6 linked regions of the Xenopus tropicalis genome follow. The protein of the gene in region 4 purifies or fractionates together with the protein of the main gene of each other region. This does not show direct contact. Links are inferred from orthologs where the notes say so. Each region holds a gene or a part of one and is shown on either strand. Other genes may lie near its edges.

Region 1 (4,220 bases), on a different chromosome or scaffold from region 4:
CTGATAAAGGGCAGCCAGCATTCCTATGGATATATGCAACATGCTGACTGGGGAATACTTACTGCTAAATAAGAAATTCCGTTCAGTGCCCTCTGCCATTCTGAAGATTTGACTTTGGAGTTGATTTAGGTTTCTAGACGTTAGTTTGACATTGGTGGTTAAAAAGATTTTGGAGGGGTAATATGGTATAAGAATTGAATACAATGCCGATTACAATACTATGATTTTGCGCCAGAATGGTTTTGTGCACAATAGATTTTGATTGACAAAAACATAGTTTTGCCTATTGTGGTGCACACAAAGAATTTTTTAAGAAAACAACATTTTGTACTTATTCTAACCTATGCATAGGACATGATTACTCTTTACAAGTATATATAAAAAGTATAGACAAACAGTGGGGTTCTTTTTCTATATAGAAAAGATCAACCAACAAAAGGCCAACCCACATATAAAGTTAGTTTAGTATAGATATATATATACGAGTGTACTGATAGGCCCTAATGAGTACGGAAATGTTGTATATTGACATTATGTGATTAAATAAATTTTCAATGCCTGGGTGCTTGGAAAAGAATCACATACTATGTTGCACTCCACAACTTTTTAAAATATACTTTATCAAATCATACCAGTATCAATGTTTTGGCTTTCTGTATTGAGAAATGCTCTAAGAACCAAAATGTTGATTTTGGCATGATTTAATAAAGTATACTTTAAAAGACCAAGGAATGCGTGGTGTCTCTGTGTTGTTACAATATATATCTATATGATACTGGGGGTCATTTTGAGGGGGTTTTCAAACTTTTGTAAACATCAAACTGTCATGTTCAATTACCAATAAATGTAACATCACATGACATAAGGATTTAACCTAGCTCAGTTGAACACTTTGGATTGAATTAGTATTTAGTGATACACTCCTTTATTACTATATATATGTAAATATATTCTTTATGATGCTCACTGCGGGGTCCCCTAGAAGATACCCAAAATTTTCAAAATAGTATAAAAACAGCATAGCACTCAAGAAAGCTTAGTCCAAAAAAGTTTTATTCACATAAGGAAACCCATTGCGTTTCGACCCCCACTAAACTGCATTGCATAAAATGGCTGTTGTTACATTACAAATCATGGTATAATACAGTAAGAGAAAGGAACTTTAAACATAAAGTTACATTTTATCCCTGAACAATTTCAGTTTTCTCCATCCCATATTACCACACATGTATCTATTTTGCAGTTGCCATCCAGTAAAAAAAGCTGTGCATACACTGAAGTAGTGTAGAGTACCGGTCTTTAGTAGTTAATGATAAACTGGAACTAGGGCCAGCAAATGGTGCACTAGGCACTAGTACATATATGCAGGGAACACACTGAAGCAATATTAGATTTTTCCTCCCTGTATATTTTCACAGGTGTATGGTGCTATAATTGTTTATGGGCCTTTAATAACTTTGTAAACAAGCCCAGTGTATGCATATACAATACCACATTGTATAATAAATGATGATCTTACAAGAAAAAACGTACACACATTATTCTACACATATGTATGTATGTGAGATATGAAATATTAAGTTTCAATATCCAAGATATATGTATTATTCTGACACCTCAGAAGCTGGGAGCTATAGCGTTTCTACCAAAAAGCTTTGTGGAAAGGCCACAAAGGCCCGGGCCTAGGGCGGCAGAAGTTTAGGGGCGGCATGCCGCCCCGCCGCAAAAAAAAAATTAAATTTGGCTCCCATACGGAGCAGTCGGGACCTCTCCCCACTGCTCCGTATGGGAGTTTAAAGGAGTGCATGCGCACTGGTGGTGTCGCTTTCGCGCATGCGCACGGGGGGGCGCTTTCGCACATGCGCACTGGGGGCACTTTCGTGCATGCGCACGGGTGGGGAGGGGGCGACCGACAGGGGTGGCCTCAGGGCACCCAAAACAGAAATCCGGCCCTGGGGAGATAGCTCTTAGTACTAGTTGATCATGGGACTGGTCCAATTGCCCTCTGCAGCAAATTAGAGAGGCTTCAGATGGGGTTTTTTGCCTTCCTCTGGATCAACTAGTAGTTAGGCAGGTTATATATAGGCATTATGGTTGAACTTGATGGACGTATGTCTTTTTTCAACCCAACTTACTATGTTACTATGTATTGACATTTCAAAATTAACTATAAAATAAAAATCTGTGTTTTTGAAAATGGATTTTAATGCAGGATTCTGCTGAAAACAAGCTCTATTAACTTATGTGTTTTGGGAAAAAAAACATGCTTTCTCATGTTAGTATTCCTTTAACATAATTAGTGACAGTAATAGAGCAACACTGCTCTAGTAACAGTAAATAGGGCCACACCGCTCAGCCACTTTCCATCTGTTGTGCCGCTTAGCCTATGGGAACACATTGCCTGCACAAATAGTGACCTTGAGCGGAATCTCCCCGCAGCTGCTCTGTGCCAGCTGCACTTCTACCCACCATGCATTAAACTGGCACAGAACCCACACTGATCTGTGTAATTCTGCTAAACAGTATTAGCGCCCCGACATAGCGAGCGCATTTACGGGCGCAATTATTAGCTGTCTCTGCCCTGCTCCACCCCCGAGACGTACATAGAGGTATCATTTGCGCACTGTTAGATCCAGCAGTGGCCTATCAGCAAGAAGACTGACATTTCCTTGCAATTTCTCACCTGATTGCCAAAGGTCTCAGCCCGCAGGCCTGGGCTCTGCTTGTCCTACTCAAAGCCACCAACATGGTTCTGCTCGCCATCTTCCCGGGCTGCTGCGCTTGCCAGCGAACGTCAGGCTGCGGGGGCGGGGAGAGGTGGAGCAGCGCCGCAATATCTTAGGAGGCCACCAGATGGCGACCTTGGCGGCGCTGTAAACAACCACAATAAAATGCTTCAACAGTGTATGTGTGTGGTCAGTCCGAGACAAATAAGTTTGCGTAAATGTAGATGTTGTAGTTCCATTAAATACGAATTGATTATTCGTTCCATTGTGGGATATTTAACTAGGTTTTATTTTCCTTTGCATAGGGGCTAAATAGCGCCAAAGTACTTATAGCAACAAACCACGTTTTCTTTTATTTTAGAGCTTGTAGTAGACAGAGCTTTTAAGGATTCATGTATTTGATAACGTTTTATCCTTTTTAGGGAGGAAAAATAGGGTGCGTGGATTGGAATGGGCAGGATTCAAGGGTCATTATACTTTCAGATTGCAAGCTCTTTCGGGCATGCCCTCTTATTTCAGTTATCGGTAAGTTTTCATTGTATATACCCACTTATTGTACAGCCCTGCTTCAATGTTTACATGAAGAAGTCACCCCTACTACATGTAGCATTTTGGTATTGCCCCCTGGCTTTCCTTTCCAAAACGTGCTCCAAATCACCAGCACTTTTCTAACTAAGCTTCCTAGGTTTACCCATATCCCTATCTCTATTCACCCTCTGGGACACTGCAGTTAATTTTTTTCATCTTCCAAAGTGGAAAGAGCAATGCTTTGTGCCCAAAAGGGCTCTGTCAGGTACTTAGGAACAGAAATGGTTATATGCTGTGTACCCTATCTGTAATTAGCCTTGTGCATTTAGGTGCCCTTCCTAATGGGGCCTAAATGCAGTGTAACCTACTGCGAATATGAATATATTGCTGTATTAGTATACTGGAAGTTTAAAGTATTGATGGTAATAGGCATCTACAGATTTTTGCATCAAGGCAGAGTGAGTAATCGACCCATAGTTCGAATATTTACTTGCATGACTTAAAGGGGAACTCCACCCAAACACAAGTTAAGCTTTTTGAAAAGTATATATAATTTCAAGCAACTTTGCAATTTATATCAATTTAAAAAATATGCATCCTTTTAATAATTTTTTATGTAATAATATGGTTTGGGACAGTTAACTAATCCTAGCCCCCTTGTTTTCCTGCTTATTTGGCTGACTACTTTGAGACTCAAACAAATGTAACAGTAGTCGACTGTGTCAGCCTGCCTTCAGACAACATCTCCCAAATCCTGGAATTCCCTGCATATGTGATGTCAATAAGGAAAGGAACATCACTGTGCACTGTGGGTTGTGTAGTTTTTGCATGCTGTTTTTAAGTTGTGGAGAAATTGTTACAATTTGTAACATCAATGTTTAATTCCCTCCTCCCCTGCAACTGTTTTGCAGCTGGATTTCTCCATAGGAGCAGATTACAGAGACAGTTATATTAGGTGTTTCTGTG
Region 2 (3,953 bases), on a different chromosome or scaffold from region 4:
TGAGTACAAAACACAACAGTGAATGAAGTTAGCATTAACCCCTATGGGGCTGCGGAAGCATTTGCAGCTCCATGAGACTCCTCCCCCCAATCAACCCTGCACGTATTTCACAACAACAACAAAAAAGTTTGTATTAACCCATAAATAAACTTGTCTGTAAATCAGCTGGTGCTTGCTACATTGTTTCAACAGTGGAGACCAGCAGTGCAGATACAGCTTTCAACTCCAATTATGTTCAAGCCCTTTTGGGGGCCACATAAGAGGCCCCTGAAATTACAATTGTTACCCATCACTGCTCTAAGTTTGGGTTGTATCAGGCTTACATATTAAGGTGGTTGGGGGTACGACACTAGGTATGAGGTATCTGGGGGTAACAAGGTGGAAAGAGCCCTAATGAGCATGGCCCTCACTGCCCCCATTATTAGTTGTTATACAAAGGTTATCTGTTTCATGTATCCACCCCGTCGGAATTAGTTGGTGCCTTGTGTAAATACTAGTTACACAATATCATCACAGACAGTTACTTATCAGTACTAACTGGATCTCCTGCACATACTTCAGCAATAGCGGAGGGGTCTCTTTTCCATTCCACTGCTAAAGGAGGGGGGAGTCACACACACAACATGGGGCTGATACAGAAGAGAGGAGCGCCTCGTACACATCAGAATCCGGCACTAAAGGGGGGGCCCTAACATAACAGCAGCCAATGCACATCTGATTGGGGTGTCACCATAGAAGGATTGGGAAAGTACAAACGCTCACAGTATTGGGGAGCTGCTCACAAGCAATTCCTGTACATGACTGGATTTTAGTTCTCAGCAACCAGCATGTAACACCCCCAGGAATTGGTAAGGGGGTGCCATACAGAGTAATAACTTCAGTAATTAGGGGCGCATAGGCTTCATACAGAGAGTAATATCCCCAGTAATTAGGGGCGCATAGGCTTCATACAGAGAGTAATATCCCCAGTAATTAGGGGCACATAGGCTTCATACAGAGAGTAATATCCCCAGTAATTAGGGGCGCATAGGCTTCATACAGAGAGTAATATCCCCAGTAATTAGGGGCGCATAGGCTTCATACAGAGAGTAATATCTCCAGTAATTAGGGGCACATAGGCTTCATACAGAGTAATATCCACAGTAATTAGGGGCACATAGGCTTCATACAGAGTAATATCCCCAGTAATTAGGGGCACATAGGCTAAATACAGAGAGTAATATCCCCAGTAATTAGGGGCACATAGGCTTCATACAGAGAGTAATATCCACAGTAATTGGGGAGGGGGTGCCATACACAAAGTAAAGTAATAACTCCAGTAATTAGGGGGTGCACAGGCTACAGACAGAGTAATATCCCCAGTAATTGGGAAGGGGGTGCCATACACAGAATAATATCCCCAATAATTAGGGGGTGCATAGGCAACATACAGAGAGTAATATCCCCAGTAATTAGGGGGTGCATAGGCAACATACAGAGTAATATTCCCAGTAACTGAAGATGGGGGTGCCATATAGAGTAATAACTCCAGTAATTAGGGGGTGTATAGGGGACATACAGAGTAATAACACCAGTAATTAGGGGGTGTATAGGGGACATACAGAGAGTAATACCTACAGTAATTAGGGGGTGTATAGGGGACATACAGAGAGTAATACCTACAGTAATTAGGGGGTGTATAGGGGACATACAGAGTAATAACACCAGTAATTAGGGGGTGTATAGGGGACATACAGAGTAATAACACCAGTAATTAGGGGGTGTATAGGGTACATACAGAGTAATAACACCAGTAATTAGGGGGTGTATAGGGGTACATACAGAGTAATAACACCAGTAATTAGGGGGTGTATAGGCTACATACAGAGTAATACCTACAGTAATTAGGGGGTGTATAGGGGACATACAGAGTAATACCTACAGTAATTAGGGGGTGTATAGGGGACATACAGAGTAATACCTACAGTAATTAGGGGGTGTATAGGGTACATACAGAGTAATACCTACAGTAATTAGGGGGTGTATAGGGGACATACAGAGTAATACCTACAGTAATTAGGGGGTGTATAGGGGACATACAGAGAGTAATACCTACAGTAATTAGGGGGTGTATAGGGGACATACAGAGTAATAACACCAGTAATTAGGGGGTGTATAGGGGACATACAGAGTAATACCTACAGTAATTAGGGGGTGTATAGGGTACATACAGAGTAATACCTACAGTAATTAGGGGGTGTATAGGGGTACATACAGAGTAATACCTACAGTAATTAGGGGGTGTATAGGGGACATACAGAGTAATACCTACAGTAATTAGGGGGTGTATAGGGTACATACAGAGTAATACCTACAGTAATTAGGGGGTGTATAGGGGACATACAGAGAGTAATATCCCCAGTAAATGGGGAGGGGGTTCCATACACAGAGGGGAAAACGGGGTCCCATAGACCTAGGGGAAGGGAGATACCATGAAGTACTACACGGGGGGGGGTTAATAATTGAGCCCCATACAGAGCCAGTGCAGCACAAAGCACACAGCCGCACTAGGGCTCCCCGCACAACAACACCCACCTTGTTGAAGGCAAACAGTTCCTGCTTTATCTTCTCCCTCTGCGGGTCATGGCCCTGCCGCCTGAACCTAAACTTCATCATGTTGCCGGCGGCCCGGAGCTGACGCAGCCGCTGCCCGTACAGCAGCAGCCTCCCCTCTCTGCAGCCACAGTTAGCGCACACACACACAGGCGGCTGGGGAACTTGATCCAGCCCGCCGCTTGATTGGCGTTCTTATCGACCAATCACAGAACTCTCCAGGGAGCGTCGCTTTGCCCCTTTTCTTTAAGAGCATCAGTACAGGCATCGCGCCTGCGCGGAATGGAGCAGGGGAGGCTGGGAGTTGTAGTTCTTTGTGGGAAAATTCTTACGTTTGTAGTTTTCTTTCAACTTTTTTAACTTTTGGATAATCAAGGCTGGATTTTGTGAATTTATCCGAATATCTTTTATTTACACTGTGCAATTGGTTCCTTTGCTTAGCTAGGCTTTCTTATCCCAATCGGTTTCTGTGAAAGCTCAGATTTATGAGGTGAATGATGTTAACAATGGGTTTCAGAAAGGACCATTGCGTCTCTGTACTCTGTTATAGAGGGCTTGAACCTCTACCATAAAGTGTGGAAGAAATGCTGCTTTGTTAAATACAGGAAGGTTTCCTTGTACAAGCACAATAGTTACCATATCTGTACCCCCTACTGTAAATGATAAGGATATTAGCAGTCACTGAGGGGTTCTGTGCCCATATAAAGGCACAAGGCTGCAGGCTGAGTTATACAGGGAACTCTGAGTATCACTCATGTATTATAAGGGATAATGTACCCCCTACTGTAAATGATAAGGATATTAGCAGTCACTGAGGGGTTCTGTGCCCATATAAAGGCACAAGGCTGCAGGCTGAGTTATACAGGGAACTCTGAGTATCACCCATGTATTATAAGGGATAAAGTACCCCCTACTGTAAATGATAAGGATATTAGCAGTCACTGAGGGGTTCTGTGCCCATATAAAGGCACAAGGCTGCAGGCTGAGTTATACAGGGAACTCTGAGTATCACTCATGTATTATAAGGGATAATGTACCCCCTACTGTAAATGATAAGGATATTAGCAGTCACTGAGGGGTTCTGTGCCCATATAAAGGCACAAGGCTGCAGGCTGAGTTATACAGGGAACTCCGAGTATCACTCATGTATTATAAGGGATAATGTACCCCCTACTGTAAATGATAAGGATATTAGCAGTCACTGAGGGGTTCTGTGCCCATATAAAGGCACAAGGCTGCAGGCTGAGTTATACAGGGAACTCTGAGTATCACTCATGTATTATATGGGATAATGTACCCCCTACTGTAAATGATAAGGATATTAGCAGTCACTGAGGGGTTCTGTGCCCATATAAAGGCAC
Region 3 (4,271 bases), on a different chromosome or scaffold from region 4:
AAAGGGTATTTGTGGCTCTTGTATATTATATAGTGAATAAAGTACCCCTTATTGTAAAATATAGGGATATTATAAGTCACAGAGGGGTTCCATCAGGGTCAGACTGAGGGGTTGCAGGGCCCAATTAAACCCCCCCAAGAGACCCCCATGTGGCCCCCGCCGCCCACCCAACCCCCGAGCGCATATACTTAGGCACATCGAGAGAGGACAACCTGCGTGCCCCGGATCGGTCTGGGTTTTTTCCCCAGTCCCATGACCATATAAAGGTACATATATACATATATAATATACAGTAATTTCCCTATGGGACCAAACCATAAATGATATCCTTATAAATGGTGAGTAGTAATGTCATCAGTTATAATCTGAGCTTGGTGATGTCATTTCTGTCACATGACTCACTTAAACTTGTATATTATAATAAATAAAGTACCCCTGTTGTAAAATATGAGGATATTAGAAGTGACCTATGATTTCCATGACCTTTATGGTCATGGGACTTCTCTATGACTTATAATATCCCTATATGTTACAATAGGGGGTACTTTATTCACTATATAATATACAGGAGCCACAAATACCCTTTATATGGCCATGGAACCCCTCTGTGACTTATAATATCCCTATATGTTACAATAGGGGGCACTTTATTCACTATATAATATACAGGAGCCACAAATACCCTTTATATGGCCATGGAACCCCTCTGTGCCTTATAATATCCCTATATGTTACAATAGGGGGTACTTTATTCACTATATAATATACAAGAGCCACAAATACCCTTTATATGGCCATGGAACTCCTCTGTGCCTTATAATATCCCTATATGTTACAATAGGGGGTACTTTATTCACTATATAATATACAAGAGCCACAAATAACCTTTATATGGCCATAGAACCCTTCTGTGCCTTATAATATCCCTATATGTTACAATAGGGGGTACTTTATTCACTATATATAATGATACAGACACACCAGGGAGCCATGTGAGCAGTGACATCACTAAGCTTCCATTCTAAGGGATGACATCACTAAGCAGCATTGTTAAGGCTATGACATCACTAAGCAGTAGAATTGTTAGGCTCAGTCTATAGGCAGATAGCCTAACATTAACCCTTCTGTGACACCCACCCCAGTATATACCAGGCAGCTAGTTGGCCTCTGATAATGACTTGCTAAACAGCCCTTAGGGAGCGATTAGGCAGCAGCAGAAGGTGAGAGGGGAAAGAAATCCCAAATAAGATCAGTGCTAAAGCCCCAAGCTGCGCTGGGTTTGCCCCCCCCCCCCCCCACAGAAAGGGGATCCGGGGAAGTGAGACAATGGGCAGGGAGGGGGGAGGAGAGCGGTGGGTGGGGCTTGCCGGGAGGGCGGGGCTTGCCGGGCTGCAGCCGTAGAAGTGTATGGAGCTTGGGGGCGGAGGCACAGCGCTGCTCTCTCTCTCACAGCCTAAGGATTGTGCGTTGTGGATCTCCGGGGGATCCCGCCCGCTCCCCGTTCGGCCGCCTGTGACCCCTCTCCCCGCACCCCGAGTGTCGCCCTGTGGATTTAGCGCAATACCGGCGCAATACCGGCGCAGCGAGGCTCCTACAAAAGGACTGGCGCTCCCCCTTTCTCCCTCCGCCTCCTTTTCTCAAACAGCCTCCGTCCGTCTCCCTTCCCCCAGTGCCTGGGATCCCATGCCCGCCGGGAGCCTGCCTGCTGCCCTGGTAAGTACCTCTCCCCCGGGGTGGATTGTGCCGGGTACATTGTGCCCCCCATGGGTGGGTGAGAGTGGTACAGTCTCCTTGCTGTGCCCTCAAACTGCCTGCTGCTGCCTGCAACTGCCTGCTATCATTCTATCTATCATTCTATCCTACATTGGCTTCCCAGGTACATGCCTTTCCCTATGTTACTGTGGGTTTCACTGGCCTGCTTGGCATTTGGGCCCCTGTACCCATATTCCCTAGCCCTGCACCCAAGCCCTCTGGTTAGAGCTGGGTGCCACTGACTATTATGGGTCCGGTTACCCTGATGCCTGGCCTCCCATTGGCTCTGGGTAGCAGCTAGATGTGGGGTTCCATGGCCCTGCACCTCATCCCTCTTTTCAGCCTAAATCCCATTACCCTGAGCCTTTGCCCTCCCAGTAGCTCTGGGCCCTGTGGCCCTGCACCTCATCCCTTGCTTTAAGTCTGGATCCAATTACTCTGACCCTTAGACCTCCCATTTGCACTCCAGCCCTTCCTGTATATATACCCCTCATGGTCCAATTACCCTAAAACTTGGCCATCCTATTAAATCCTGCCCTCGCGGCCCTGCACCTCATCCCTTCTTTCAGCCTGGATCTAATTACCCTAAGCCTTTGCCCTCCCATTAGATTGGGGCCCTATGGCCCTGCACCTCATCCCTTCTTTCAGCCTGGATCCAATTATCCTGATCCCTAGACCTCCCATTTGTACCCCCCCCCATTAGATCTGGGAGCCACCCATCTTTCCCTTTAGATCTTGCCCTATTGCCCTACACAACAGCCCCCCCCCCCATTAGATCTGGGAGCCACGGCCTTGCCTCTTATCCCTATTACTGCTGATCCATAGCCTTCCCTTTAGATCTAGCCCTATTGCCCTACACAACAGCCCCCCCATTAGATCTGGGACCCATGGCCTTGCCTCTCATCCCTATCACTGCTGATCCCTGCTGAAGCCTTCCCTTTAGATCTAGCCCTATTGCTCTGCACCCCAGCCCCCCTATTAGATCCCCCTTGTCTCTCATCCCTATTACTCCTGATCCCTATCCTTCCCTTTAGATCTTGCCCTAATGCCCTGCACCCCAGCCCCCCCCCCCCCCCCCATTAGATCTGGGAGCCACGGCCTTGCCTCTCATCCCTATTACTGCTGACCATAGCCTTCCCTATGGACCTTGCCCTATTGCCCCGCACAGCAGCCCTCCTGTTGGATCTAGATCCGACCGCCCTGATTCTCCTGCATTCATCAGATCAAGCATGGGCTAGTTGAGGCCCTCCAGATCTTTTTAAGATGCAACTCCCAGCACCCCTCCTTCAGCAGCATCTGGAGTATCTCCCATTAAGTAAGCCTGATCCTTCATTTTGCCTTTGATTCCCATTCCCCTGGTTAGATCCATAGCTGCGGCATTCCCATGGGAAGCTGGGGGTGTCAGTGATCCTTTCAGCACTGCCTGAGCCTTACTAAGCCTGGCACAGAGCACTCGCAGCAGCCGCATTTCCCTTCCCAAGGCCTTGAATTCCACTGAAATCCCTGCAAGGCCCCACCAAGCCAGGGACTCTCCTGACGGATCAGCCTGGGTCATAAGTCAGTTGCCTGGGGCGGGTTGGTTTGGGGAGGAACTGCCAACGTTACACTTCACACCCAATCCACACCGGCCGTTCTGCACTCAATTGTTTCCCCCGTTGCTAGCCTCTCGGGAAGGGCCGTCTGGGCCGGCCTGTTTACTCTCCTACAGAACACAAATAGGTGTTTATTGTTCTACATTCATGCCATAAAGGAGCGATGATAACACCACGGTGTAGTAAAGCAGAGCCTCATTAATAATTAACCACAAAGCTGCGAACAACAAAAAAATACAGTTAAAGACTGTGAATGTATTTTTGGGTTTATTTCCCCTTTAGTGTGTGTATAATCTGTCAGTATATACGATTTACATGCGTGTGCATTAAATGTTTGTGTGTGACCTAAAATTAATGAATTTGAAATGCATTCCGAGCCCAGTAATTGAGTGTCAGGGTCAAGTATCTGTGAAGGGGGGGTGGGTAGATCTATCAGGGCACGGCGGGGGTGGCTGTTTCCCACTGAATGGGACAGAATTACAAAGGAGAAAGGGTGATAGTGTTGGTCCTTATAAAAGAAAAAAAAAAGTGACATTCCCACCCCATGAGAAGGAGCGTTAGTGAAAGGGCTGGGAAGATGATTTAGGTGCCTGGGGGGTTCATTCAGATGGTACCTGCCAAAAAAGTAGGGTTGGGGGGTAACAGGTGGGGAGAATAAAAACAAGTTATAGCATAGGGTATTGGGTTCATAGTCCAGAAATCTTGGCGCTGGTTTGGCTGTAGTTATAGCCAGGATGTGCAGCTCTGGTGATGGTTTTCGGTAGTGGTGGGTATTTGGCACATGAATTACCCCAGGCTGGTGCGGATGGTGGGTCAGGCGTAAATGTAGGCATTTAAAGCTTGCATTGGCCACTGCATGGGGCCTTTCTGACCAATATATGGCAAGATATCTTTGAAAATTAGGCTGGTGTTGTGACCCTCTCCCTG
Region 4 (3,285 bases):
TTGTTTTATACTGGATTTATTTTCAAACATGTAGGCCACAAACCAAACTTTAAAGGGATATGTAGTCAAACAATTAGCCCTTTTAATGTGGCTGTTATTTTGTACCACATTTGAGGTTCAGATTTTATATACAGTGGAGGAAATAATTATTTGACCCCTCACTGATTTTGTAAGTTTGTCCAATGACAAAGAAATGAAAAGTCTCAGAACAGTATCATTTCAATGGTAGGTTTATTTTAACAGTGGCAGATAGCACATCAAAAGGAAAATCGAAAAAATAACTTTAAATAAAAGATAGCAACTGATTTGCATTTCATTGAGTGAAATAAGTTTTTGAACCCCTACCAACCATTAAGAGTTCTGGCTCCCACAGAGTGGTTAGACACTTCTACTCAATTAGTCAACCTCATTAAGGACACCTGTCTTAACTAGACACCTGTCCACAGAATCAATCAATCAAGCAGACTCCAAACTCTCCAACATGGGAAAGACCAAAGAGCTGTCCAAGGATGTCAGAGACAAAATTGTAGACCTGCACAAGGCTGGAATGGGCTACAAAACAATTTGCAAGAAGCTGGGATAGAAGGTGACAACTGTTGGTGCGATTGTTCGAAAATGGAAGGAGCACAAAATGACCATCAATCGACCTCGCTCTGGGGCTCCACGCAAGATCTCACCTCGTGGGGTGTCAATGATTCTGAGAAAGGTGAAAAAGCATCCTAGAACTACACGGGAGGAGTTAATGACCTCAAATTAGCAGGGACCACAGTCACCAAGAAAACCATTGGAAACACATTACACCGCAATGGATTAAAATCCTGCAGGGCTCGCAAGGTCCCCCTGCTCAAGAAGGCACATGTGCAGGCCCGTCTGAAGTTTGCCAATGAACACCTGAATGATTCTGTGAGTGACTGGGAGAAGGTGCTGTGGTCTGATGAGACCAAAATAGAGCTCTTTGGCATTAACTCAACTCGCTGTGTTTGGAGGAAGAAAAATGCTGCCTATGACCCCCAAAACACCGTCCCCACCGTCAAGCATGGGGGTGGAAACATTTTGCTTTGGGGGTGTTTTTCTGCTAAGGGCACAGGACAACTTATTCGCATTAACGGGAAAATGGACGGAGCCATGTATCGTGAAATCCTGAACGACAACCTCCTTCCCTCTGCCAGGAAACTGAAAATGGGTCGTGGATGGGTGTTCCAGCACGACAATGACCCAAAACATACAGCAAAGGCAACAAAGGAGTGGCTCAAGAAGAAGCACATTAAGGTCATGGAGTGGCCTAGTCAGTCTCCGGACCTTAATCCAATAGAAAATTTATGGAGGGAGCTCAAGCTCAGAGTTGCACAGAGACAGCCTCGAAACCTTAGAGATTTAGAGATGATCTGCAAAGAGGAGTGGACCAACATTCCTCCTAAAATGTGCGCAAACTTGGTCATCAATTACAAGAAACGTTTGTGCTTGCAAACAAGGGTTTTTCCACTAAGTATTAAGTCTTTTTTTGTTAGAGGGTTCAAAAACTTATTTCACTCAATGAAATGCAAATCAGTTGCTATCTTTTATTTAAAGTTATTTTTTCGATTTTCCTTTTGATGTGCTATCTGCCACTGTTAAAATAAACCTACCATTGAAATGATACTGTTCTGAGACTTTTCATTTCTTTGTCATTGTACAAACTTACAAAATCAGTGAGGGGTCAAATAATTATTTCCTCCACTGTATTTATGTATTTTAGAAGTTCAATGATTTTCTAATTTCTCTGCCACAGACAACACTCCACTGCTGTAGCCAGCTTTTCCACAGACCTCTGTAACCCAGTAAAAAGTACCTTGGATGTTTGGATAAAGCCAACATCTTTAGATCTTTCCAGTGCAGGCCCCTTTGGATTTAGTTGGGTATGCTGTATAACCTTAAGGGGAAGGATCACATTCATCTGTAGTATGCATTAGAAAGTGCAAACCATTAATCCTGGGTCATTTTTTGCTGCACAGTTTTCATATTATTTTATCTTTTGTTATGCTGGTCTCTAGTTTCCACTGTAAACAGTTATCTGGTAGTTAGGGCCCCACTAGTCCTAGCATCCTGGCTTAGGATCTAATGGCAGACTGGAACACAGAGGCTCTATTTGGCTTGGTATCTTTGTTTGCAGGTGCTACTAAAGCATTGTAATATGTGGTTATTATGTGACTCAGATTGCTTTGTACTTTCTTATACAGAAGCAGATCCTCGCCTCATAGAATCTCTCTCTCAGATGCTTTCCATGGGCTTCACAGATGAGGGAGGATGGCTCACTCGGCTCCTGGAGGCAAAACAGTTCGATATTGGGTCTGCTCTGGATGCCATGCAGTCTATACGCCACATTCCTCCCTCCTAAGCAAGACTTTGAGTTCAGCCATTCTGTTGTTCCCTTTCTGTCCTTATTTGTATTATCTGTTTGTTAGTGTAACCTGATTTCACACACTGTTGGTACAAGAGAGTCAAGTCCTTTTTTCTTATTGAAGTTAAATAAAATTTTCTTTGTCTGCTCTAAAGCATTCATTTATTCAATTCATAACTTCTATGAGTTTCTGCTTCTACAGTGTCAGTTAAACAAAGGATACTGTAACCAGCAAATATTTCTGTGCACTGAGTTCAGTCACACTTTATGGTTATGGTTACAGGGGATGGTAAAAGAAGTTTTTATCCTGGTAATAAGCATAAAATCAAGGGAAATGTCTTTTCAGACTGTGCTATTCCTGTACTCAAAGTAACAAAAATAAAACTTATCCAGTGCACTTAAAAGTCAGTTCTGTGTTTGACTGGACCTCTGTTCTTATTTCCTTAAGTTGGGGCCGGTAGCATTACACACATTTTTTTTTTCTAGCCCTTGTATGCTAAAATTGTTATGTCCATCCTAATATTTTATACATTGTTAAATCAAAAAGTTTAAATCATCTTTACTGGGTCAGCAAGATGGCTGTCATAGCAAAAATAAGCCCCACTGAAGAATTTTCTTGCATCTATAGTTCAGCTTGGCACTGCTGCTTTGTAAGGCTCAGAAATGCAATGAAGGGACTTTATGAAATGCTCATAAACCCTTTAATTGTATATATAAGCATTTTTTCAGTCCTGCCTTAACGCAATCTACTCATAATCTTGCTGTTATCTACTGTAAGAGATTACTAAACCTGGCGATATTATTCAAACATCAGAAGGGCAGACACTGTTTTCTTTGGTTGTAGAAGAAATAAGACAACCATTGCTCCTCTGAATACTTTAAATGTAATTTTCTATTTTTAGGGGTTT
Region 5 (4,101 bases), on a different chromosome or scaffold from region 4:
GCTGTGTAGCAGACAGTACGTGGGGGTTACTGCCCCAGGGCTGTGTAGCAGACAGTATGTGGGGTTACTGCCCCAGGGCTGTGTAGCAGACAGTATGTGGGGTTACTGCCCCAGGGCTGTGTAGCAGACAGTATGTGGGGTTACTGCCCCAGGGCTGTGTAGCAGACAGTATGTGGGGGTTACTGCCCCAGGGCTGTGTAGCAGACAGTATGTGGGGGTTACTGCCCCAGGGCTGTGTAGCAGACAGTATGTGGGGGTTACTGCCCCAGGGCTGCGTAGCAGACAGTATGTGGGGGTTATTGCCCCAGGGCTGTGTAGCAGACAGTATGTGGGGTTACTGCCCCAGGGCTGTGTAGCAGACAGTATGTGGGGGTTACTGCCCCAGGGCTGCGTAGCAGACAGTATGTGGGGGTTACTGCCCCAGGGCTGCGTAGCAGACAGTATGTGGGGTTACTGCCCCAGGGCTGCGTAGCAGACAGTATGTGGGGGTTATTGCCCCAGGGCTGCGTAGCAGACAGTATGTGGGGTTACTGCCCCAGGGCTGTGTAGCAGACAGTATGTGGGGGTTACTGCCCCAGGGCTGCGTAGCAGACAGTATGTGGGGGTTACTGCCCCAGGGCTGCGTAGCAGACAGTATGTGGGGTTACTGCCCCAGGGCTGCGTAGCAGACAGTATGTGGGGTTACTGCCCCAGGGCTGCGTAGCAGACAGTATGTGGGGTTACTGCCCCAGGGCTGCGTAGCAGACAGTACGTGGGGGTTACTGCCCCAGGGCTGTGTAGCAGACAGTATGTGGGGGTTACTGCCCCAGGGCTGTGTAGCAGACAGTATGTGGGGGTTATTGCCCCAGGGCTGTGTAGCAGACAGTATGTGGGGTTACTGCCCCAGGGCTGTGTAGCAGACAGTATGTGGGGGTTACTGCCCCAGGGCTGTGTAGCAGACAGTATGTGGGGGTTATTGCCCCAGGGCTGCGTAGCAGACAGTACGTGGGGGTTACTGCCCCAGGGCTGCGTAGCAGACAGTATGTGGGGGTTACTGCCCCAGGGCTGTGTAGCAGACGGTATGTGGGGGTTACTGCCCCAGGGCTGCGTAGCAGACAGTACGTGGGGGTTACTGCCCCAGGGCTGTGTAGCAGACAGTATGTGGGGTTACTGCCCCAGGGCTGTGTAGCAGACAGTATGTGGGGTTACTGCCCCAGGGCTGTGTAGCAGACAGTACGTGGGGGTTACTGCCCCAGGGCTGTGTAGGATAGGAGGAGGACATAGGATAACAAAACAAGCACAGGAATCCATTCTAATTAATCCCTTTTTCCTATTCAGATAACTGCCCGCCCCCTGTCCCCCCCTTACAGTATTTACTGCAGGGGCAGGACTACAAGTCCCAGAATGACTCTGTGTTTGCAGTAGGAGGGACAACGTTTGTTGTTGCTCTACACTACCCAGCATGCTTCACTCCAAGCAAACCAGGAAACGAAACCTGCTGTGACTGGGAGGGGTTTCCCCAATATCACATGTCCACCATCAACCAATTAGCTTTCAGTTTCTTCTGTCGCAACTACTGTAAGTCCTACGAGTTCTTCTCATTCTGTGAGTGAGAGGTTGTTCCGTCAGTAAATCCCGGTGAGTATGAGTGTGTGTCCCCCAGTCACTCAGTGAGTATGAGTGTGTGTCCCCCAGTCACTCAGTGAGTATGAGTGTGTGTCCCCCAGTCACTCAGTGAGTATGAGTGTGTGTCCCCCAGTCACTCAGTGAGTATGAGTGTGTGTCCCCCAGTCACTCAGTGAGTATGGGTGTGTGTCCCCCAGTCACTCAGTGAGTATGGGTGTGTGTCCCCCAGTCACTCAGTGAGTATGAGTGTGTGTCCCCCAGTCACTCAGTGAGTATGAGTGTGTGTCCCTCAGTCACTCAGTGAGTATGAGTGTGTGTCCCCCAGTCACTCAGTGAGTATGAGTGTGTGTCCCCCAGTCACTCAGTGAGTATGAGTGTGTGTCCCCCAGTCACTCAGTGAGTATGAGTGTGTGTCCTCCAGTCACTCAGTGAGTATGAGTGTGTGTCCCCCAGTCACTCAGTGAGTATGAGTGTGTGTCCCCCAGTCACTCAGTGAGTATGAGTGTGTGTCCTCCAGTCACTCAGTGAGTATGAGTGTGTGTCCCCCAGTCACTCAGTGAGTATGAGTGTGTGTCCTCCAGTCACTCAGTGAGTATGAGTGTGTGTCCTCCAGTCACTCAGTGAGTATGAGTGTGTGTCCCCCAGTCACTCAGTGAGTATGAGTGTGTGTCCCCCAGTCACTCAGTGAGTATGAGTGTGTGTCCCCCAGTCACTCAGTGAGTATGGGTGTGTGTCCCCCAGTCACTCAGTGAGTATGAGTGTGTGTCCCCCAGTCACTCAGTGAGTATGAGTGTGTGTCCCCCAGTCACTCAGTGAGTATGGGTGTGTGTCCCCCAGTCACTCAGTGAGTATGAGTGTGTGTCCCCCAGTCACTCAGTGAGTATGAGTGTGTGTCCCCCAGTCACTCAGTGAGTATGAGTGTGTGTCCCCCAGTCACTCAGTGAGTATGAGTGTGTGTCCCCCAGTCACTCAGTGAGTATGAGTGTGTGTCCCCCAGTCACTCAGTGAGTATGAGTGTGTGTCCCCCAGTCACTCAGTGAGTATGAGTGTGTGTCCCCAGTCACTCAGTGAGTATGAGTGTGTGTCCCCCAGTCACTCAGTGAGTATGAGTGTGTGTCCCCCAGTCACTCAGTGAGTATGAGTGTGTGTCCCCCAGTCACTCAGTGAGTATGAGTGTGTGTCCCCAGTCACTCAGTGAGTATGAGTGTGTGTCCCCCAGTCACTCAGTGAGTATGAGTGTGTGTCCCCCAGTCACTCAGTGAGTATGAGTGTGTGTCCCCCAGTCACTCAGTGAGTATGAGTGTGTGTCCCCCAGTCACTCAGTGAGTATGAGTGTGTGTCCCCCAGTCACTCAGTGAGTATGAGTGTGTGTCCCCCCAGTCACTCAGTGAGTATGAGTGTGTGTCCCCCAGTCACTCAGTGAGTATGGGTGTGTGTCCCCCAGTCACTCAGTGAGTATGGGTGTGTGTCCCCCAGTCACTCAGTGAGTATGAGTGTGTGTCCCCCTGTCACTCAGTGAGTATGAGTGTGTGTCCCCCAGTCACTCAGTGAGTATGAGTGTGTGTCCCGCAGTCACTCAGTGAGTATGAGTGTGTGTCCCCCAGTCACTCAGTGAGTATGGGCTCTGTCAGCCATTAGTGTGTGTCCCCCAGTCACTCAGTGAGTATGGGCTCTGTCAGCCATTAGTGTGTGTCCCCCAGTCACTCAGTGAGTATGGGCTCTGTCAGCCATTAGTGTGTGTCCCCCAGTCACTCAGTGAGTATGGGCTCTGTCAGCCATTAGTGTGTGTCCCCCAGTCACTCAGTGAGTATGGGCTCTGTCAGCCATTATTGTGTTTCCCCCAGTCACTCAGTGAGTATGGGCTCTGTCAGCCATTAGTGTGTGTCCCCCAGTCACTCAGTGAGTATGGGCTCTGTCAGCCATTAGTGTGTGTCCCCCAGTTACTCAGTGAGTATGGGCTCTGTCAGCCATTAGTGTGTGTCCCCCAGTCACTCAGTGAGTATGGGCTCTGTCAGCCATTAGTGTGTGTCCCCCCCCAGTCACTCAGTGAGTATGGGCTCTGTCAGCCATTAGTGTGTGTGTCCCCCAGTCACTCAGTGAGTATGGGCTCTGTCAGCCATTAGTGTGTGTGTCCCAGTCACTCAGTGAGTATGGGCTCTGTCAGCCATTAGTGTGTGTCCCCCAGTCACTCAGTGAGTATGGGCTCTGTCAGCCATTAGTGTGTGTCCCCCAGTCACTCAGTGAGTATGGGCTCTGTCAGCCATTAGTGTGTGTCCCCCAGTCACTCAGTGAGTATGGGCTCTGTCAGCCATTAGTGTGTGTCCCCCAGTCACTCAGTGAGTATGGGCTCTGTCAGCCATTAGTGTGTGTCCCCCAGTCACTCAGTGAGTATGGGCTCTGTCAGCCATTAGTGTGTGTCCCCCAGTCACTCAGTGAGTATGGGCTCTGTCAGCCATTAGTGTGTGTCCCCCAGTCACTCAGTGAGTATGGGCTCTG
Region 6 (4,252 bases), on a different chromosome or scaffold from region 4:
ATTCTCTCAGGCTAAGATTTTTTTTTTTTTTGTATTGCATAAACTTAACCTTTAAAGGGCAACTGTAGTGAAATAAAATAGGTCTAAGGCATGCCTGCGAAAGGCAAGTAAGGTGGCACTACATTTTCTTCCTAAAAGGATATTGATCCCAGTCATGGGTGGGGGGCATGGACTATAGGGTCTGCTGTACCACAGTTAATGCCTTTTTTTTTTTTTGCAGGGGGGCCCGGCATCACCAAGTTACATTACTGTCCATTGAGGATGCACATTTCTTTTTAAAGGGCTCACTCCTTCTTCCATATGTGACTCTTAAAAAAAAAGGTCTTGTGCAACTGCCACATGGCATAAAGGAGGCAATTGGGGATACAAAGTATATATATATTTGGAACTGTTTCCCTTTAGTATTCTGAACATTATAAAATACGTTTTCATACTGGAGGTAGTATTTTAGGTATTTTAGGTTTAAAAGATCACATTTTTGTTTTTAGTTATGGTGACAAAAATTGATTAAGGGCTCTGGCACAAGGGGAGAGTAGTCGCCCGCGGCAAAACTCCCTGTTCGCGGGCGACTAATCTCCCCGAGTTGCCCTCCCCTGCCATCCCACTGGCAAACATGTAAGTCGCCGGTGGGATGGCACACGCGGCGGCGCGACTTCGCGCAAATCGGGCGAAAAAGACTCACGGGTCTTTTTCGGCGATTTCCCGAAATCACCCCGCCACGTCTGCCATCCCACCGGCGACTTACATTGTCGCCGATGGGATGGCAGGGGAAGGCAACTCGGGGAGATTAGTCGCCCGCGAACAGGGAGTTTTGCCGCGGGCGACTAATCTCCCCGTGTGCCAGAGCCCTAAAGGGTAAGTTCGCCTAGGGTCTTATTTACCCTAGCAATCAGGAAGTTATATAAATGAGATTCTGGAACATGAAAAGGTGAGGGACTCAATAAGAATATAAGAATTAAAAAAGTAACAATAACAATAAAACTGTAGCTTCACAGAACAATAGTGTTTCTGGCTGTTGGGGTCAGTGACCCCCATTTGAAAGCTAATAAGACATAGTACAGGAAGGTAGATAATTAAAAATCAAAATAAAGGAAGGTTAAAAATTAAAAATCAAAATAATTGTGAACAATTGCAAATTTGCTAGGAATTCTATAACATACTTAACTTAAAGTTAAACCACCTTTAAAATGCTGATTAGCAACTTTGTGTGCTTTTCGCACCATCTTATTGTACTCATCTGTACATATAGATTCAGAAGGAATGGCTACTATTTTCCCTCAGCACAACCACAGTTTTTACTAGGTACCCACACTGCATCTTGTAGAGACCACTCGTCTCCTTCTTGGACAATAAAGTGGAATGTGCATCTTTGCGAGGATCTACCTTGCGCACGAAGAGAGAGCGAAGCCAACTACTATCTCTGGAATCCGAGCCATATCTAAATTCAAAGAGAGGAATTAAGAAATGTGCAATCATAATCAGTATACTGCATGTATACCAAAAGTATTTTTTTTTCTTAAAGGAAAAGGAAAGTCACAATTGTAAGGGGAATCCAAAAAAGTTGGGCACCACCCAGTGAATGTATTCACTTATACGATACTCCAGGTTGGTGCTCCTGTTGGAAGAAACTGCACCAGCATGGGGTTATTTTGGCGAGCACCATGGAGCAATCCTCTTCATGCCAAATTTTTACAAACGGTGGCTCTTTGACTCTACTGCACATGTGTCAGCCATGGGGTAGCAAGAACTACAAAGCAGGAAGATGATTGCTTCATGGTACTCACTGGAAGAATCCAGAACCCCTTTAAAATTAAATTTAAGTTTAAATAATTTTTTCACAAACTCAGCTGCTAGTGTTCATACCTTTATTCACGTAAACACACCAATTACTTTAATCCTCTTTCTAAAAGGTATTACAAATTTTGTCAGTTATAAGCAATAGCATGTGGAAACAAAGTATGAGGATTTACACAGATTTAACCCAAAATGCTTTATCATCCACTGATGCTCACGTGCAGAGGTTTCCACTAACAGAGCTCAAACAAACATGACCTTTATACATCTTCTCTGACAACAGGCACTTGGAACCTATTAACAGAGGGGGCAGGTAACAAGCACTACAATACTCTGCAAAAAAACAACCAAGTATTCACAGAACTTTAAACAGGCTTGTAAAACACCACATAAATCTGGTAGTTCTGCAGTTCCCATAACTTTCAGAATTGCTCATCAGGCACCAGACTTGCCCATTGTGTACCAATATTCACAGCAAGCAGGTACTTTTCTAATTCTAGTGATAATGTAATTAAAAGATCTGCCGAAAACAGCAAGGGTTAAAAGCAGTATGCTGTTGACATCTTGCAATCTGCCAAAAACAGCAAATAAATCAAAGCTCATGCACCTAGTCCTACATTACACCAGGGAAGTGCAACAGTACATAGTAAGTGCATTCAGTGATTGTAAATGCATACCCACAGCATTGGAGAGGAACATGCACTGACTAACTACAATATAAACCTAACCAAGAGCTGTTGCAGTCTCCCTGACAGGTGAATGTACAGGTGACTGTGCTGCTGCTTCACTGCAAGCCTAATGGACTGCTTTCTTCTTGACAGGTAACTGGCATGGGCAAGCAACCATTTTATATTTAACTGTAAAGCCACTAGAAAGAGAAAGACGAGCCACACAGCTGCTTACCTACATAACTGCAGCGGCAGGTACCCCGAGCTGGGCCCAGAGCTTTGGAGCAAAGGAGAAATCCGGGCTACCCTAGTCAGCATGTTACAGACTGTGAATACAGGAAACCTAGGGCTGCTGCACTGAGCCAGCAAGGGGAGGGAGAGAGGACAGGCGGAGCCTAATAGGAGCTTAGAGGCCTGCATGCTAGTCAGTTTCTCACAAGCCAATTAAGCTGCATGTTTTTGGTGGAAACTGGAGCACCTGTATAACTCGGACAGACAAAGGTAGAACATACAAACTCCTTGCAAACAGTGGACCTGTCAGAACTGAATTTAGTACCCCAGTGTTGATGTCTATCTGACAAGTGCCCTGATTTTTGGATTTGTATATATCATCAGGAGTTCCCCAAATATGAGGGTCAGTAATGACTGGTTTGCGTTACAGTTAGGGTTGCCACTTGGTCAGTAAAAATGATAATTAATGCCAACGTGATTACCGGGAAAAACACAAAAATATAGGGAGGCCGGCATTACTTTTCAGAAAAGGAGGCAACCCTACTTACAGTATCAGTGCCTTCCTATATCCACACCAGTATGACACTTCTAACCACCATTAAATTACCCTCCTGACACCCTAGCTGCTTCAGACAGCCATCGGTTCAAGTCTGGTACCTATACTGTACTCCTAAATAGGCATAAACTGGTATTTCAGGCACTCAACCAACAGTCCACATGTTGCTGAACTACAACTTTTAGCATACCCTGACTGTTGCATTGGTATTACATGGAAAAGTATTCCTACAACAACAGGAGGGCTTATAAACAATTTTTGTTATGAATTTAACATTAACAGGCTCCAGTGACCTAAATAAGGAGTCAAGTGATGTAATATGATAGTAAAATAAAAAAGTTGGGTCTAGGAACAAAAGAGATTTAATGTGGTCCCCAAAGCTATTAAATGTAAAGCATCATTCCCATTAGATGGGAAGCATAATTTTCTCTAGGTTTGGTAAATGCATTGTGCTGACAAGTGCTGATATCCAAACCAGTCACAAGTTGACAATGGCATGTTGGTCTGGGCCCCGCAGAGAAAGAAGCACCCATATTCATGTTTAGATTAAGATATAAGCACACAATTTAAGCAAGCAGAAGGTGCTGCATAAGGACATGATGTATTCAGGAGTGCAAGAACCAATTACCAACAAGCAGTTGGTACTAGAACCCTAAGAAATTTCTATACAGAGATAAACAATGTATATATTATACAGCAGTGATCCCCAACCAGTGATTCGTGAGCAACACACTGCTCCCCAACCCCCTTGGATGTTGCTCTCAGTGGCCTCAAAGCAGGTGCTTATTTTTAAATTCCAGGCTTGGAGGCAAGTTTTGGTTTCATAAAAATCAGTTGTACTGCCAACCAGAACCTCCTGTAGGCTGCCAGTCCACAAAGGGGCTACCAAATAGCCAATTACAGCGCTTATTTGGTACCCTTGTGAACATTTTTCATGCTTGTATTGCTCCACAACTTTATTTACATTTGGGTGTGGCTTGCGGGTAAAAAAAAGGCTGGCTGC

Evidence for each region. Proteins that work in one complex are often made in the same cells at the same time.
Region 1: the proteins of sqstm1 (region 4) and nipsnap2 purify together in Homo sapiens (affinity purification with mass spectrometry; 4 studies listed by BioGRID and IntAct, with this or other methods). This does not show direct contact. The link is inferred for Xenopus tropicalis from reciprocal best matches to the Homo sapiens genes SQSTM1 and NIPSNAP2.
Region 2: the proteins of sqstm1 (region 4) and llgl1 purify together in Homo sapiens (affinity purification with mass spectrometry; 3 studies listed by BioGRID and IntAct, with this or other methods). This does not show direct contact. The link is inferred for Xenopus tropicalis from reciprocal best matches to the Homo sapiens genes SQSTM1 and LLGL1.
Region 3: the proteins of sqstm1 (region 4) and vangl2 purify together in Homo sapiens (affinity purification with western blotting; 3 studies listed by BioGRID, with this or other methods). This does not show direct contact. The link is inferred for Xenopus tropicalis from reciprocal best matches to the Homo sapiens genes SQSTM1 and VANGL2.
Region 5: the proteins of sqstm1 (region 4) and trim25 purify together in Homo sapiens (affinity purification with mass spectrometry; 3 studies listed by BioGRID, with this or other methods). This does not show direct contact. The link is inferred for Xenopus tropicalis from reciprocal best matches to the Homo sapiens genes SQSTM1 and TRIM25.
Region 6: the proteins of sqstm1 (region 4) and nipsnap1 purify together in Homo sapiens (affinity purification with mass spectrometry; 4 studies listed by BioGRID and IntAct, with this or other methods). This does not show direct contact. The link is inferred for Xenopus tropicalis from reciprocal best matches to the Homo sapiens genes SQSTM1 and NIPSNAP1.

Annotation. Positions count from the first base shown.
Region 1 is NC_030678.2:98,152,533-98,156,752, forward strand, and holds the start of nipsnap2 (protein NipSnap homolog 2), read right to left. Parts: upstream 2,801-4,220; 5' UTR 2,764-2,800; coding exon 2,684-2,763; intron 1-2,683. UniProt on the Homo sapiens protein: Protein involved in mitophagy by facilitating recruitment of the autophagy machinery required for clearance of damaged mitochondria.
Region 2 is NC_030685.2:16,025,426-16,029,378, forward strand, and holds the start of llgl1 (lethal(2) giant larvae protein homolog 1), read right to left. Parts: upstream 2,801-3,953; 5' UTR 2,656-2,800; coding exon 2,575-2,655; intron 1-2,574. UniProt on the Homo sapiens protein: Cortical cytoskeleton protein found in a complex involved in maintaining cell polarity and epithelial integrity. Involved in the regulation of mitotic spindle orientation, proliferation, differentiation and tissue organization of neuroepithelial cells.
Region 3 is NC_030684.2:137,173,455-137,177,725, reverse strand, and holds the start of vangl2 (vang-like protein 2), read left to right. Parts: upstream 1-1,471; 5' UTR 1,472-1,713; intron 1,714-4,271. UniProt on the Homo sapiens protein: Involved in the control of early morphogenesis and patterning of both axial midline structures and the development of neural plate. Plays a role in the regulation of planar cell polarity, particularly in the orientation of stereociliary bundles in the cochlea.
Region 4 is NC_030679.2:22,196,071-22,199,355, reverse strand, and holds the end of sqstm1 (sequestosome-1), read left to right. Parts: intron 1-2,216; coding exon 2,217-2,374; 3' UTR 2,375-2,785; downstream 2,786-3,285. UniProt on the Homo sapiens protein: Molecular adapter required for selective macroautophagy (aggrephagy) by acting as a bridge between polyubiquitinated proteins and autophagosomes.
Region 5 is NC_030686.2:52,267,935-52,272,035, forward strand, and holds the start of trim25 (tripartite motif containing 25), read left to right. Parts: upstream 1-1,301; 5' UTR 1,302-1,557; exon of another isoform or gene 1,558-1,617; intron 1,618-4,101.
Region 6 is NC_030677.2:144,799,783-144,804,034, reverse strand, and holds the start of nipsnap1 (protein NipSnap homolog 1), read right to left. Parts: upstream 2,801-4,252; 5' UTR 2,781-2,800; coding exon 2,698-2,780; intron 1,439-2,697; coding exon 1,311-1,438; intron 1-1,310.